3 linked regions of the Lepisosteus oculatus genome follow. The main gene of each other region encodes a partner of the protein of the gene in region 2 in a complex. Links are inferred from orthologs where the notes say so. Each region holds a gene or a part of one and is shown on either strand. Other genes may lie near its edges.

Region 1 (3,754 bases), on a different chromosome or scaffold from region 2:
TTGGTTAGAAGCCCTTGTATTCTGCAGCCAGAAGGGCATTTGGGACCCTACCAATTTGAATAAAAAATATTGTTTCATTGTTTGACATACGCTACCATGATGTACAGCCATGTATTGACTATAACCAGGCACAACAGGCGAAATAGGTACAGAACCTATCTGAGATTATTTCTATTGTATCGCTCAGATACAACCAATAAAACAAAATAAAAGACCTGATATGACTATTACATTGATTTGACATGGATGTGTTCAGAATAATGAAGAATCCTTGATGAGAGTTCTCACCCTCATCTTCTCGTGCTTTTTACACCAAGAGCTCATGTCTGAGGATGAAGAATGTTAACAGAAAGACCTCAGCTATCTTACTTTGGAAGTTCAAGACTTGTGTATTCTGTTGAAAATCTTTCATAATATACCTGTTTGACAACATTTCATATACAAAATTGGCATAGCATTTTTCTCTCTTGGTGGGGACTACAGGCTTAATTCAATGTTTCTGCAAGAATAATTGATATGATTATATTTGGGGAATGCATGTTAGCTGTCTCACAGCTCTTGCATCCTGTCTTCATAATTAGGCCTGGAGTACACTCTGTTTCAATGTTACATGTTCTGCTCAATGCCCACATAGGTATTCAATGGGTGATTGAAATGGGTAATCAGTGGACTCAATTAATTGCCCTGTGATCCCTGTGATGGACTGGCATTGCTTCCAGGTTGTTTTCTGTTTTTTTTTTTTCCATTGCCTGCTGGATTAGGTTCTTTCTCATTGCAGACCTGTATTATACTAAACAGCTATTGAAAATAGGTAGATTATTATATCGCAAAACACCAATTCCAAGACATTTAAATCATTGAGTAGCATATGCCATTTGGACCTTCTCTGATAGTATCATTTAAAGGTTGTTTGATGAACCAGCATTTTCTTGGCAAGGTAAAGCAGGAACTTAAGACTTTGTACAAAAAACCGTACCCAGTCTTCATCCAAGCAGATTGGCCACTCTTTTTGAGAAGCACATGCAGCTTTGCTGCCATGTTCTACTGGTCTGGGTCCTCTTCCACTGGCGCCAGTTTCGTGAAACGTGGATTCTGGCTGAAAATCATTAAAGAATTAAACCTTATGACTCATATATTATGGCATTTTCCCAAATGCACCTGTTAGCATGGATTGCTAGTATTGTGTGAAAGGGTGTGTCTCTATAAATGTAAAATGTTATTTAACAATATAATGGTAATACTTCCATGGCACATCATATTTGTGTGTGGTGCATCTGTGCATTGTGCAAAACATCTGGCAAAAGAGTTCTGTGCCTGGTGCATAACACGAGTTCACATGCAAAACAATTATTTGTCACCTTTTACCAGTCTGTGTGTCAAGTAACTTACAGTACTGTATGTTTCCTATGTTTAATGCACAAAATGTACATAAATCTGGAAAACAATATCATCATACCTTTTCAGTATGTTCCCATATTTTAAGAACATTACAAGAGCTTTACATTTTTTTCAGTACTAAGTAATTCAATGTGAATGAAAACATTCTTATGATCCTGATATACCGTATATGGTAGATCCTGAGGGAAAACGAAAAAATCCTCTTGATTGAACAACTGAACAATCCACATGGAACACAATGATCCAACTGAATAATGAATTGCACAAACTGTCAATACAAGTAAACTATCCAGGAACTGCGGAAACTAGTCAAAATGAATTTACCCTAAATGGCATGTGTTTTCTAATACAGTGTGTAATTTAGAATCACAATTCTTGTTATATCTACCCAACTTGGAATAATTGTGCACCTATACACCTCGCCATTGCATACAGGAGAGAATGAGGACTGATTCTTCTGACCCGCCCCCTATCAAGCCACACATATTTTTACTGGCACCACAGTCCCCTGTCAGAGATTCGTCCCCTGTTGGAGGAGAGGCGTGTCTCTTATTAATTCTGATTGTACGCATTATTTCAATAAATGTGTTTGAGCAACAAATCAGCATAAGATACACCTAAATGAATAAATTCAAAAGTACTTGGAACAAATTTGACATCCATATGTACCAGAAACATGGAAAGGTAACTCATATATTTAAGAAATCAAGAATCCTACCAAGACTTCTCCTAAATCCTTCAAATCCAATGTGAATAAAAAACAAAGGGAAGAAAATACTCTGAAACACGTTATGAAAAGCAAGCAGTAAATGTTTTAACATACTCAAAAAAGAAAACTGAAAAGTTGGTTTATAGTTCTTAATTAAATACACAGTTTGTGAAAACAGATTACTAAAGGTTTCATACACACAAGAGCTCACTTTTCATAATATCCACCAGATATTCCAGAGGGTAGATTAGGGAGAACAGGTGATGAAAGTATATTGAAATATGTTCAAAGTATAAGCTAAATTATAAAAGCTCTACTTTTTAAATTAACTCACTTGTTAACCTTTTCATTATAATTTCTTACACAGAAATATTAGCACTTTAAAAAAGTATTTACTATTTGCTTTCTAAATCTGTGTTATTAAGTGTAACCTAACAATGTCTTAAATGCATAGGAAAATACCTTTATATCACTTAATAATAAAGTTACCTGTGATCGTTGAATAAAACCAACAATATCAAGTCAGAGCATACAGTACATTTTTAAAAAGCACTCACCTTTGCTGTAGAGAAGACTATAAGTAACCAGCATAAGTGGTATAACTGCCCCATTGTTGTTGGTGGTGTCAAAAAGCGAGCTGAAATGTCAGATCTGCTTGAATATGTATCCAATTTGAACCCTTGATGACAAATCAAAGTTTGCTGACAATTTACCACTGTTTACCAAGCTAACAAGCACACGTAAGTAAATGATTAAAGAAAAATTTCTTGCACAATTTGAGGTGATTTGTTTTGGCTGCCCTGATGTTCTTTCTGACACAGGACTCAGCTATTGATTTTAAGATTTTTTAAAAAGTTGGATAGTGGGCTGCTGCAATGTTTGAGACCTTTGTACTTGGATGCGCATGTACGTTCAATGCCTCCAAAAGCACACAGAGAGATACCTGAACACCCACACAGGACATCACCCTTTCATTTCAGATACTAATGAGTTCTAATGTCTGGAAACATTATGTCTCATATCTGAATACTGAACAACTCCTTGGTCAATGGTACATGACAAATGTCTGTCAACAGTTTACAAATACTGCTGTACCGTACTTAAGGTTGTTTGCTGTGTGTTAAATAAGAATGAATCATTGGTTATTGATCACTTACGAGAAGTTAAATAATGTATTTGCTGACAATCAAGTTTTTTGTTAAATATTTTGAACTTCGGCTTTATACATAAGAATGTCTGCTCTTTTACCAGTTCTGTTAGTTAAAGCCAAATCTGATGATAAGAAAGTGAAAGACACTATATCCTAAATCATAATGTATTAGTTTTTACACATTAATCTAGACATTTTCTTGGAGATTTTCTTTGACAATTGATTGTAGTGAGCACTCATCTAGGATCCACACAAGGGTTTTACATATAGGGAATACAGTCCCTATCTACAGTACATATCCTGTAGACACCTGTCTTTAATAAAACTATAGGATGTTGAGGCAGGGGCATGATTAAGAGGTAATATAGTAGAGTCCTATTGAAGCCTCTAGTTTGTTTGGCCAGTGTTTTCAAGAAAGAAGAAGTGTCACATTAATATTTTGTGTTAATTACAAGGGTTTAAACTACATTTGTTTATTTTCTACACTCCCAAGGATC
Region 2 (3,754 bases):
TGACATTTAAATACATCTAATCACATCAATGTAGATGACAGTCTCCTTCTGATTAGAATTTACTAATACCATTCACATTTAGAAATATACAAACAATAAGAACACAGAAAGACATTGATTTAAATTAAAAAATAATAAATGATCTTCAAGGGGACATTTTTATGTCATTTAACTTAAACACGTTAAAGGTATTTTAACGTGTGATGTTCAGTTTCTGATATCATGAACTGTAGCTCAGTTATCATTCAATTGACATGAAGAACTCTGAAGGAGAAAACAGCAATCCTATGTTTGAATTACAAAAAAACATATTTCTGACATAAACAGTTTATTGTTGATAACAAATATTCTATATTTTGTAATATGTTATATTAGATAACAACAAATATCAAAACAAATTATTATTATGTATTATAATTATATTCAAAGGAACAAGTGATAGGTTTATTCCATGCTGAAAAGAGACGAGAGAAAACGCAACGTTTTGAAGGCTTCAAAGCCAAAACGCTGTGTTTTTTTTCTTCTCTTTTCAGCATGGAATAAACCTATCGCTTGTTCCTTTGCAGACTACGCATGCTGACGCTGCTACCCACCTGAACTACTTATAATTATATGTTTGGGGCTCAGCAGTTGTTATAGCGTTAATTTAATAACAGCAATCCTTTTTTAATCTGGAAGTTAAAATTTTGTGGAGTTTGGAAGACATGAATTTAAGAAAGGGGGGGACAATCCTTACCCAAATATTTTTTCCAAAAGTCTGCCTGAATAAAAAAAAATAAAGAGAAGCAAATATAAATTAAATTATTCCAAGATGCAGTGTCAAGTCCAAGACGACAAACAGTTTCCTGTCACCCAGTAGCTAATGTGGCTAACATTATCCTAAAAGGAGACGGGCTCCTAGCAAAGGCTGGTGGTGACTCAATGACATTGGCACAAACAACACACTTTCCCCGAGAAACAACTTCAAACCGCCTTGGAGATCAAACCTGAAGAGCAGGACAACACCAGTAGCCTCCTCAGAGACAAGGCCTGCAGCAAATAAAGGTGACCAACTGCAGATGTCAACCCATGAACACAACACACAGCTGAGAATACAGTATGTTGTGCTGAAAAAGGCCTCAGCTTTCTGTGCCACTGGAAAGCATTCTGTGGCAAAAAACAGATCTACAGGCATGATGGATTACATCTGAATGAGATGGACACTAGTTGGCTTATGGTAAGGACCTATAGAGACCGTTTAATACACTTAAACTAGGATGGATGAGGAGTCCAAATAAAAACTGTTAACAAGATGTACATGGAATACAGTAAAAAAAAAAGTGAACCCAAACACAAGGACTTGAGCTGAGAGCTAACAGTGAAACAGAATTCAGAGGACACGAGTAAAAACTATTGAGAAGTGCATTGAAGACCAGGAGAAACCTCTGGAACAAGGCCACACTGTACAAGCTGACACCTTGGATTCGTTCAAGAAAACAGCTGGAATGAGATCCTTAGATCACCTTCTAACTACTAAATGTTGTTAGTTTCACTACTACCAACTAAATGAGCCAGATGGGTCAAATGCTTACTTACTGTTTCATTTCAGTAACCTTTACAATATGTGCTTAAGACAATGAGGCTAATATATTTGCCAACTTAGTATTCTGTGTTTGACATGCGCATTTTAGGATATCGTGAGATTTGAAGAGAGAGCACAACAAAATTTTCCATTATGAGCGATTAAAAGACCCTCAGCATAAAAGTAAATTTAAGAAATCTAAACGGGAGTTTGCAATTTTGTAAATTTTGGGAACTCACTGTCCGGGTGTTGTCCTCAAAGATTTCACGGGCCTCCTCGTGGTCACAGATCTCTTCCAGACACTCTCGTTCCATATTGCCTGGCTTAAGTTCTTCAAAAACGGTGTTTGCACGCCGGCCACGGGTCAAAACCATGGACGCTTTCTGTCTGTTGAGGAATACTAAGATCCCACAAAATTAATAGCAAGGAAAATGTGAAGTTGCCATTATTACATAAAAACCATGTCAAAAAATTTTGGTCATTTCACACGATAGATTATATAAACTTTGTTGCTGATTTCTTTGGGGAAATGATTACCCTGTTCACACTGTTAATACTACACAAGAAAATCAAATGTAAAGAATACAGGCCTCCATCTACATCTTCACAATGCTGAATCACTTGGTTGGATTTAAGACAGATTTTTGGAAGGATTTTTTGGGATTGTTGCTTACAATCAAGACATCGAAACTTTAACGGACTTTGCTGTCTTCTCGGCAGCCATCATGTTAACTGTCATATCTCTGCAGGACATAATCAAAAATGTTCCTGCTTTTACTCTTTTTCTGGGGTGTTCGAAAATCAGATAAAATCTAAACCATCTGCGCACAGTCCATGTTACTATGTGTCCGCCCTGTAATGATCTTTAACTAAGAGGACACTTCTTCACTTTTTTGCTGAGACTCTCAAGCAGAACTAAAAAACCAGCCTTGACTTGCAAGCAATGGACAATCAACACCCCAGCCGGAAAAAAAAAAATCTTACCATTTTCACAAAGAGAGATCTGGACAAAAGATGCACACAGGACACTGAAAATGAGAACCACGGACATTCCACCCATTGCTACTGATGTCTAGAGCCTGAACAGGGAGCTGGGACAAACCTACAGACACCCACCACCAAAAAAAAAAACAGCTCAGCCTCCTGGTTAATATTGAATCCAGAATCCCAAGAGGAGAAGAGTGTCACAATTCACTGGGAACACTGATCGCTTCCTGTTCATAGTGAAAGGCAGAGTACAATTCTAAAGGTGGCCATGAAAAAAATGTATTATAACAGTGTTTACTTGCACCTTATTTCTAATTCTAATGTGACCATATCTAAAGGAAAAAGCACTGCGCTTGTGATGAAATTAACTACAAAGCTTTTTGCTCCATCTTTCGAATAGGGGTGGGTTAATTAACTGGCAATCCCAGTGCTTAAAATCTTCTGGTTCCCCCGATTTCATTTCTCCTCTGATCTTACTCAACTTGAACCCATTATTTGGATAAGAAAATCAAATCACCGTTTTTTAGGGTTTTCAGTTTCTATTTCCAAAGCACTTGTCAAACACACAGGAATCGGATCGCAGGATCCTGGAGTTGCTCAATCACTGCTTTTAAAAGAATGAAATGCTTGATTAACATGGCGTCGTGCGACACAACGCGGTTGTTTCTTGGCTCACTTATGTTAACCCTCCCTGACCAGACAGCCACACGGGTGATTATCATGCAAGTAGGGCTGTCCGGATAAATTTCCAGAGGAATACATTGTCTTCCAGCTTTTGTTAGTTTTCAATCCAATAACAGGTTTATCTGATTAATTAACTACACAAAGTAAACATTTTCATGGGACTTGAAGTCATTTTGTTTGCAGCTGGGCTTGACTTAACCAGAACCAGGGCCCCTGTTTTTTTTCACCCTTAATTGCATAACAGGAATTTTAAAATACATGCAAATAGCAAGGGCCTTGAAGTACTTAACATCCCCATGGACTCATACAATTAACAAAACTGGATTAGTATGCAAAATGTCTACTTCAACTATTCAGTATCCCACTTGATTGTTAATAATTTGAAAAGAAAACAAGCAGGGAATGTAGTTCTTTAGTGGATTCAACGATAGCAGGAACAGCAGCTCAAAAAAGGGCTGTTTATTGATTTTCCTTCATGGCCTCACTGTTTAAATATTTGTGTGCAAATATTGGATGACTCCC
Region 3 (3,754 bases), on a different chromosome or scaffold from region 2:
CATCACCGCCCTTCCCTGTGATAGCAGGACCACAGCTACTGGGCTGAAGAGAGATCTCTCTTTAGCTCACGGGGCTAGGTCGCTGCAGAGAGACGCGGAAGTCCCGGGTTCGAGCCTCCAGTCGGGATGGGGCCGACCAGATGCGGCAAGGGCGCCTGCCTGAGCCCCCGTTGAGTTACAATATGTAGTTAAGCCTGCAGCCTAAATCCACTGAATATTCATCCACTTGAGACACCTTGCTATTGGCTTGTATATGCATCCTAAGCAATTCCTGATGTACAGTAGTCCAAAACTGGGCCTTAGGTCCCAGAAGCTCTCATTCTTTGTCCAATTGAATAGGTTCATAATTCTCACCAACACACAGCCTATGGGTGACACTCCTGGAACTGCTGCAGGAAGCAATGGAAGCAGTCAGGTGTGCTTGTGAGTGGTGAAAGCATCTCACTGCTGGCAAAATGTCTCTATGGTCCACTAACACTACCTCACTGGAGCTGCCACTGGATACACTAGGTTTTGAACCAATGGAAAAAAAACATTTCTCAGAGCTTTTTACAGTAATCATGATACTGTTAGATCACACACATGTGACAAGTCTCGTAATTTAGTTGGTAGTTGGAAACTGTGTGAACTAATACTCCATGTAGCTTTGTATATAATTACATATTTGGTTATGTTGGCTTTTGAAGAAGTATGGGAACTATGATTTTTTTTAATAAATTGCTTACTACGTCTGAATAAGTACGTTTTCGTAATTCAGACTGACAAAATGTTCTCCAAACAGAGTGAGTAACTGGGATACAGTGACAGCTGTCAATACAACTGACCTCAGAGATTATGCACCTCCCATTATCTTGGGCTGCATGGAGAGTACAGATCAGATAAATTTCGTCTCCCTATTGAGACATTTCACTTTTCACAGAGAAGGCAACAAAGACTTTTAACTACAACATGGGGGTGTTGAAAGCGCAGACTTTCTTTCATATAACCCTTTTTGTCCTTATGGTTTCGTCAAGTTTGGCGGTAAGTCATATTCCATTTCAGAGAAAATCGATGTACTGTATGTAAAATTAAAACGTCTCTAAATCGTTATGCTTTATTTTCCTAGCAATATTCATCGCAACCGGAAGTTTGCACCCCAAGTGATAACTTCGTAAGTTAGTTTTTTTTACTCAAGGGCCTATGTATCACTATTTGTAAAAGTTTTATACGAAATGTTGACATTAAATGACATTTATTTTAATTATATTCTATGGCAACGTGATGCTGTTGTTGTTGTATTGGCGCAACTTTAATTCTTTGCTTATTTGAGGGTTTGTTCTGATTTTACAGGGGCGATATTGTCCCACAACATGTGGAATCGCAGATTACCTACAGCGATACAAACCCAGCGTTGATGAGGATCTTAAATACTTGGAGAATTTACTAACCCAGATATCAAATTTAACTAAAGGGGCACAGGAAACTGTAGTATACATGAGAGACTCCAGTACAGCTGCGCAAAAGTCTTCACCAGGTAAAGTGCATTTCAATGGATACATCGCTGAAAGATTATGATTAGAATGTATTATACATATAACGCTACTAACGCTAGTAAATGCTCTCCCAAAACAACATTGTAGACATTATAAGACTATAAGTACCATACTTCAGAATCGACTGACATCGCACAACTTAGTCAAACTTTATTGTATTAGGACAATCATACCCCATTTCTATTTTTATCAGACAATTGTTTTCTTAATTTCAGATAGTTACATAAAAAAATCAAGCAGCATGTTGGATGATATTCTGCGATTTGAGAAGAGTATTGTCTATCAGGAGGGACAGATATAGTGAGTAAATTGATTGGTTTTGTTTTGTTTAAGATGCCTTGAAGTTAAAATCTCGTTTGGTTGTATTGAATGAAATAATGCTACTTGAATGGAATAATAATGCTAATGAAAGCAAATAACTTAATATAACTTAAGGTGTGGATATTTGCTTGCAACTCTACAGATGGACAGAAGTATTCTCGCCAGGAATATTGTATTGCAGTATTTCACTAGAACATCTTAAATTCAATTTGCTAGAAAAAAATCAGTAAACTAAGAAGAGATACAGTATAACTTCCTTGTAGCTGTCATTTAACAAATTACATTTATTGCATTTGATAGATTGGTGAAAGGCATTCTTTTAGTTGTATGGTGCCATTTCAGTTACGTATAAATAACTCTGTTACTTATTTTTTCCTAGTGAGCTCCAAAATATTATAGATTCAAATGACAAGAGAATTTTGCAACTCAAACAAATGGCTCTCAACCTTGAGCAATCTTGTAAACAGCCCTGCAAAGATACTGTTGAGATTCAACCAACTACTGGAAAAGGTATTTTGACAAATGTCAGAATTTTAAATTGGTTCCTAAGTAAACAGAAAACATTTTTGTTGTCCTGTATTATTTAAGATGATTTGGGAATATGTATTTTTTGAACAATGGTATATCATGATAACATTCTGTACTAAGCCAGTGGTCAGTGTTGCTGCTACTCATTTTATTTCTTTCTCTGCTGCATTATTATTTTCTATCAGATTGCCAAGACATTACCAACAAAGGTGCCAGGGTCAGCGGTCTGTACTTTATCAAACCAGTAAAAGCAAAAGAACAATTCTTGGTTTACTGTCAAATAGACAGATTTGGGAATGGTTGGACAGTCCTTCAAAGGGTAGGTAGAATTTAAATAACTGTTTATCAAAATTCATTTGCAATACATGAGGAAAAATACATATTTTTCTTTATTTTTTAGAGACGTGATGGCTCTGTGAATTTCTTCAGGAACTGGATTCAGTACAAAGAGGGATTTGGTTACTTGACTCCAGATGATACGTCTGAATTCTGGATTGGGAATGAAAAAATTCATCTGATTTCCACCCAGTCCAGTATTCCATATATTCTAAGGCTTGAGATGACAGACTGGAATGGCCAGACAAAGTACAGTATAAAATAATATAATGAAAAGATTGAGAAATGTGGTTATTCTGCAAAGATTAAGAGGGTGATTCTTTTGATTTTCAGTTCTGGAGAAAAGTGGGATGGCAACTTTGCTGGGAATTATAGTAAACATTTAAATGCAAATCTACATACAAATGCACAAAGTAGAAACATATAAAATATGTATTTTTTCACTTAAATATAACTCAAGAAAACAAAGGTGGTTTTAGGAGTTAGGAAAGTCAGGGCTATGTTTTCATATCAGGGCATGAAAAGCTGCGTAACCTGGTCATATTTGAGAAGTCTCCGCTGCATGGTTTTTATACAACAGAATTTCTTGACTACTGTATATCCATAAAACGTGCTTAGTTGTCAGTTTTATTTATGAACTGAATAAAAAATATTTGAAGTACTTCAATACATCTTACTTGTAAATAGTTGTCTTAGCTATCTTAAATAATTAGTGAACATTTTGAAGTGCGGAGTTCTTGTGAAACATTGCACTTTGATCCATATTACATAACGGTTGCTTATTCTATCTTAAATATGAGGTGACACCAATTTGACCTTGCTGTGTGTACTGGCTGTGCCAAGTTAAAAACAGTTTACTTTGCTGAACAGTTATATGCTGTACACTGCTTCGCAGGGAAGGTTTTAAAGCATCTATAGATAATTGCACTACACAAGTCTAAAGTAATGGGATCTTTATTGGCATGTATTGTGGGCTAGCATACATTTTAAGAATATTTAAGTTTTTATGAATAGAACTCAAAACAGTATTGCCACAT

The links.
Region 1: the proteins of f2 (region 2) and fga are in contact, whole or in part, in a crystal structure (PDB 2A45), measured with the Homo sapiens proteins. The link is inferred for Lepisosteus oculatus from reciprocal best matches to the Homo sapiens genes F2 and FGA. Residues at the interface, in NP_000497.1 of Homo sapiens: Phe382, Lys384, Ser385, Gln387, Leu423, Arg425, Tyr434, Glu439, Lys440, Ile441, Ser442, Met443, Lys470; in NP_000499.1 of Homo sapiens: Trp52, Pro53, Phe54, Cys55, Ser56, Asp57, Glu58.
Region 3: the proteins of f2 (region 2) and fgg are in contact, whole or in part, in a crystal structure (PDB 2HWL), measured with the Homo sapiens proteins. The link is inferred for Lepisosteus oculatus from reciprocal best matches to the Homo sapiens genes F2 and FGG. Residues at the interface, in NP_000497.1 of Homo sapiens: His450, Pro451, Arg452, Arg461, Arg486, Ala489, Ala490, Leu493, Ile530, Val531, Glu532, Arg533, Cys536, Asp546, Asn547, Met548, Phe549, Cys550, His605, Phe607, Arg608, Leu609, Lys610, Lys611, Trp612, Lys615; in NP_068656.2 of Homo sapiens: Pro439, Ala440, Glu441, Thr442, Glu443, Tyr444, Asp445, Ser446, Leu447, Tyr448.

The regions. Positions count from the first base shown.
Region 1 is NC_090696.1:24,649,342-24,653,095, reverse strand, and holds the start of fga (fibrinogen alpha chain), read right to left. Parts: upstream 2,775-3,754; 5' UTR 2,719-2,774; coding exon 2,665-2,718; intron 1,097-2,664; coding exon 977-1,096; intron 48-976; coding exon 1-47. UniProt on the Homo sapiens protein: Cleaved by the protease thrombin to yield monomers which, together with fibrinogen beta (FGB) and fibrinogen gamma (FGG), polymerize to form an insoluble fibrin matrix. Fibrin has a major function in hemostasis as one of the primary components of blood clots.
Region 2 is NC_090716.1:4,326,073-4,329,826, reverse strand, and holds the start of f2 (prothrombin), read right to left. Parts: upstream 2,680-3,754; 5' UTR 2,622-2,679; coding exon 2,546-2,621; intron 1,962-2,545; coding exon 1,801-1,961; intron 762-1,800; coding exon 737-761; intron 1-736. UniProt on the Homo sapiens protein: Thrombin, which cleaves bonds after Arg and Lys, converts fibrinogen to fibrin and activates factors V, VII, VIII, XIII, and, in complex with thrombomodulin, protein C. Functions in blood homeostasis, inflammation and wound healing.
Region 3 is NC_090696.1:24,641,035-24,644,788, forward strand, and holds the start of fgg (fibrinogen gamma chain), read left to right. Parts: upstream 1-893; 5' UTR 894-948; coding exon 949-1,020; intron 1,021-1,105; coding exon 1,106-1,150; intron 1,151-1,329; coding exon 1,330-1,513; intron 1,514-1,747; coding exon 1,748-1,832; intron 1,833-2,232; coding exon 2,233-2,363; intron 2,364-2,566; coding exon 2,567-2,700; intron 2,701-2,781; coding exon 2,782-2,966; intron 2,967-3,754. UniProt on the Homo sapiens protein: Together with fibrinogen alpha (FGA) and fibrinogen beta (FGB), polymerizes to form an insoluble fibrin matrix. Has a major function in hemostasis as one of the primary components of blood clots.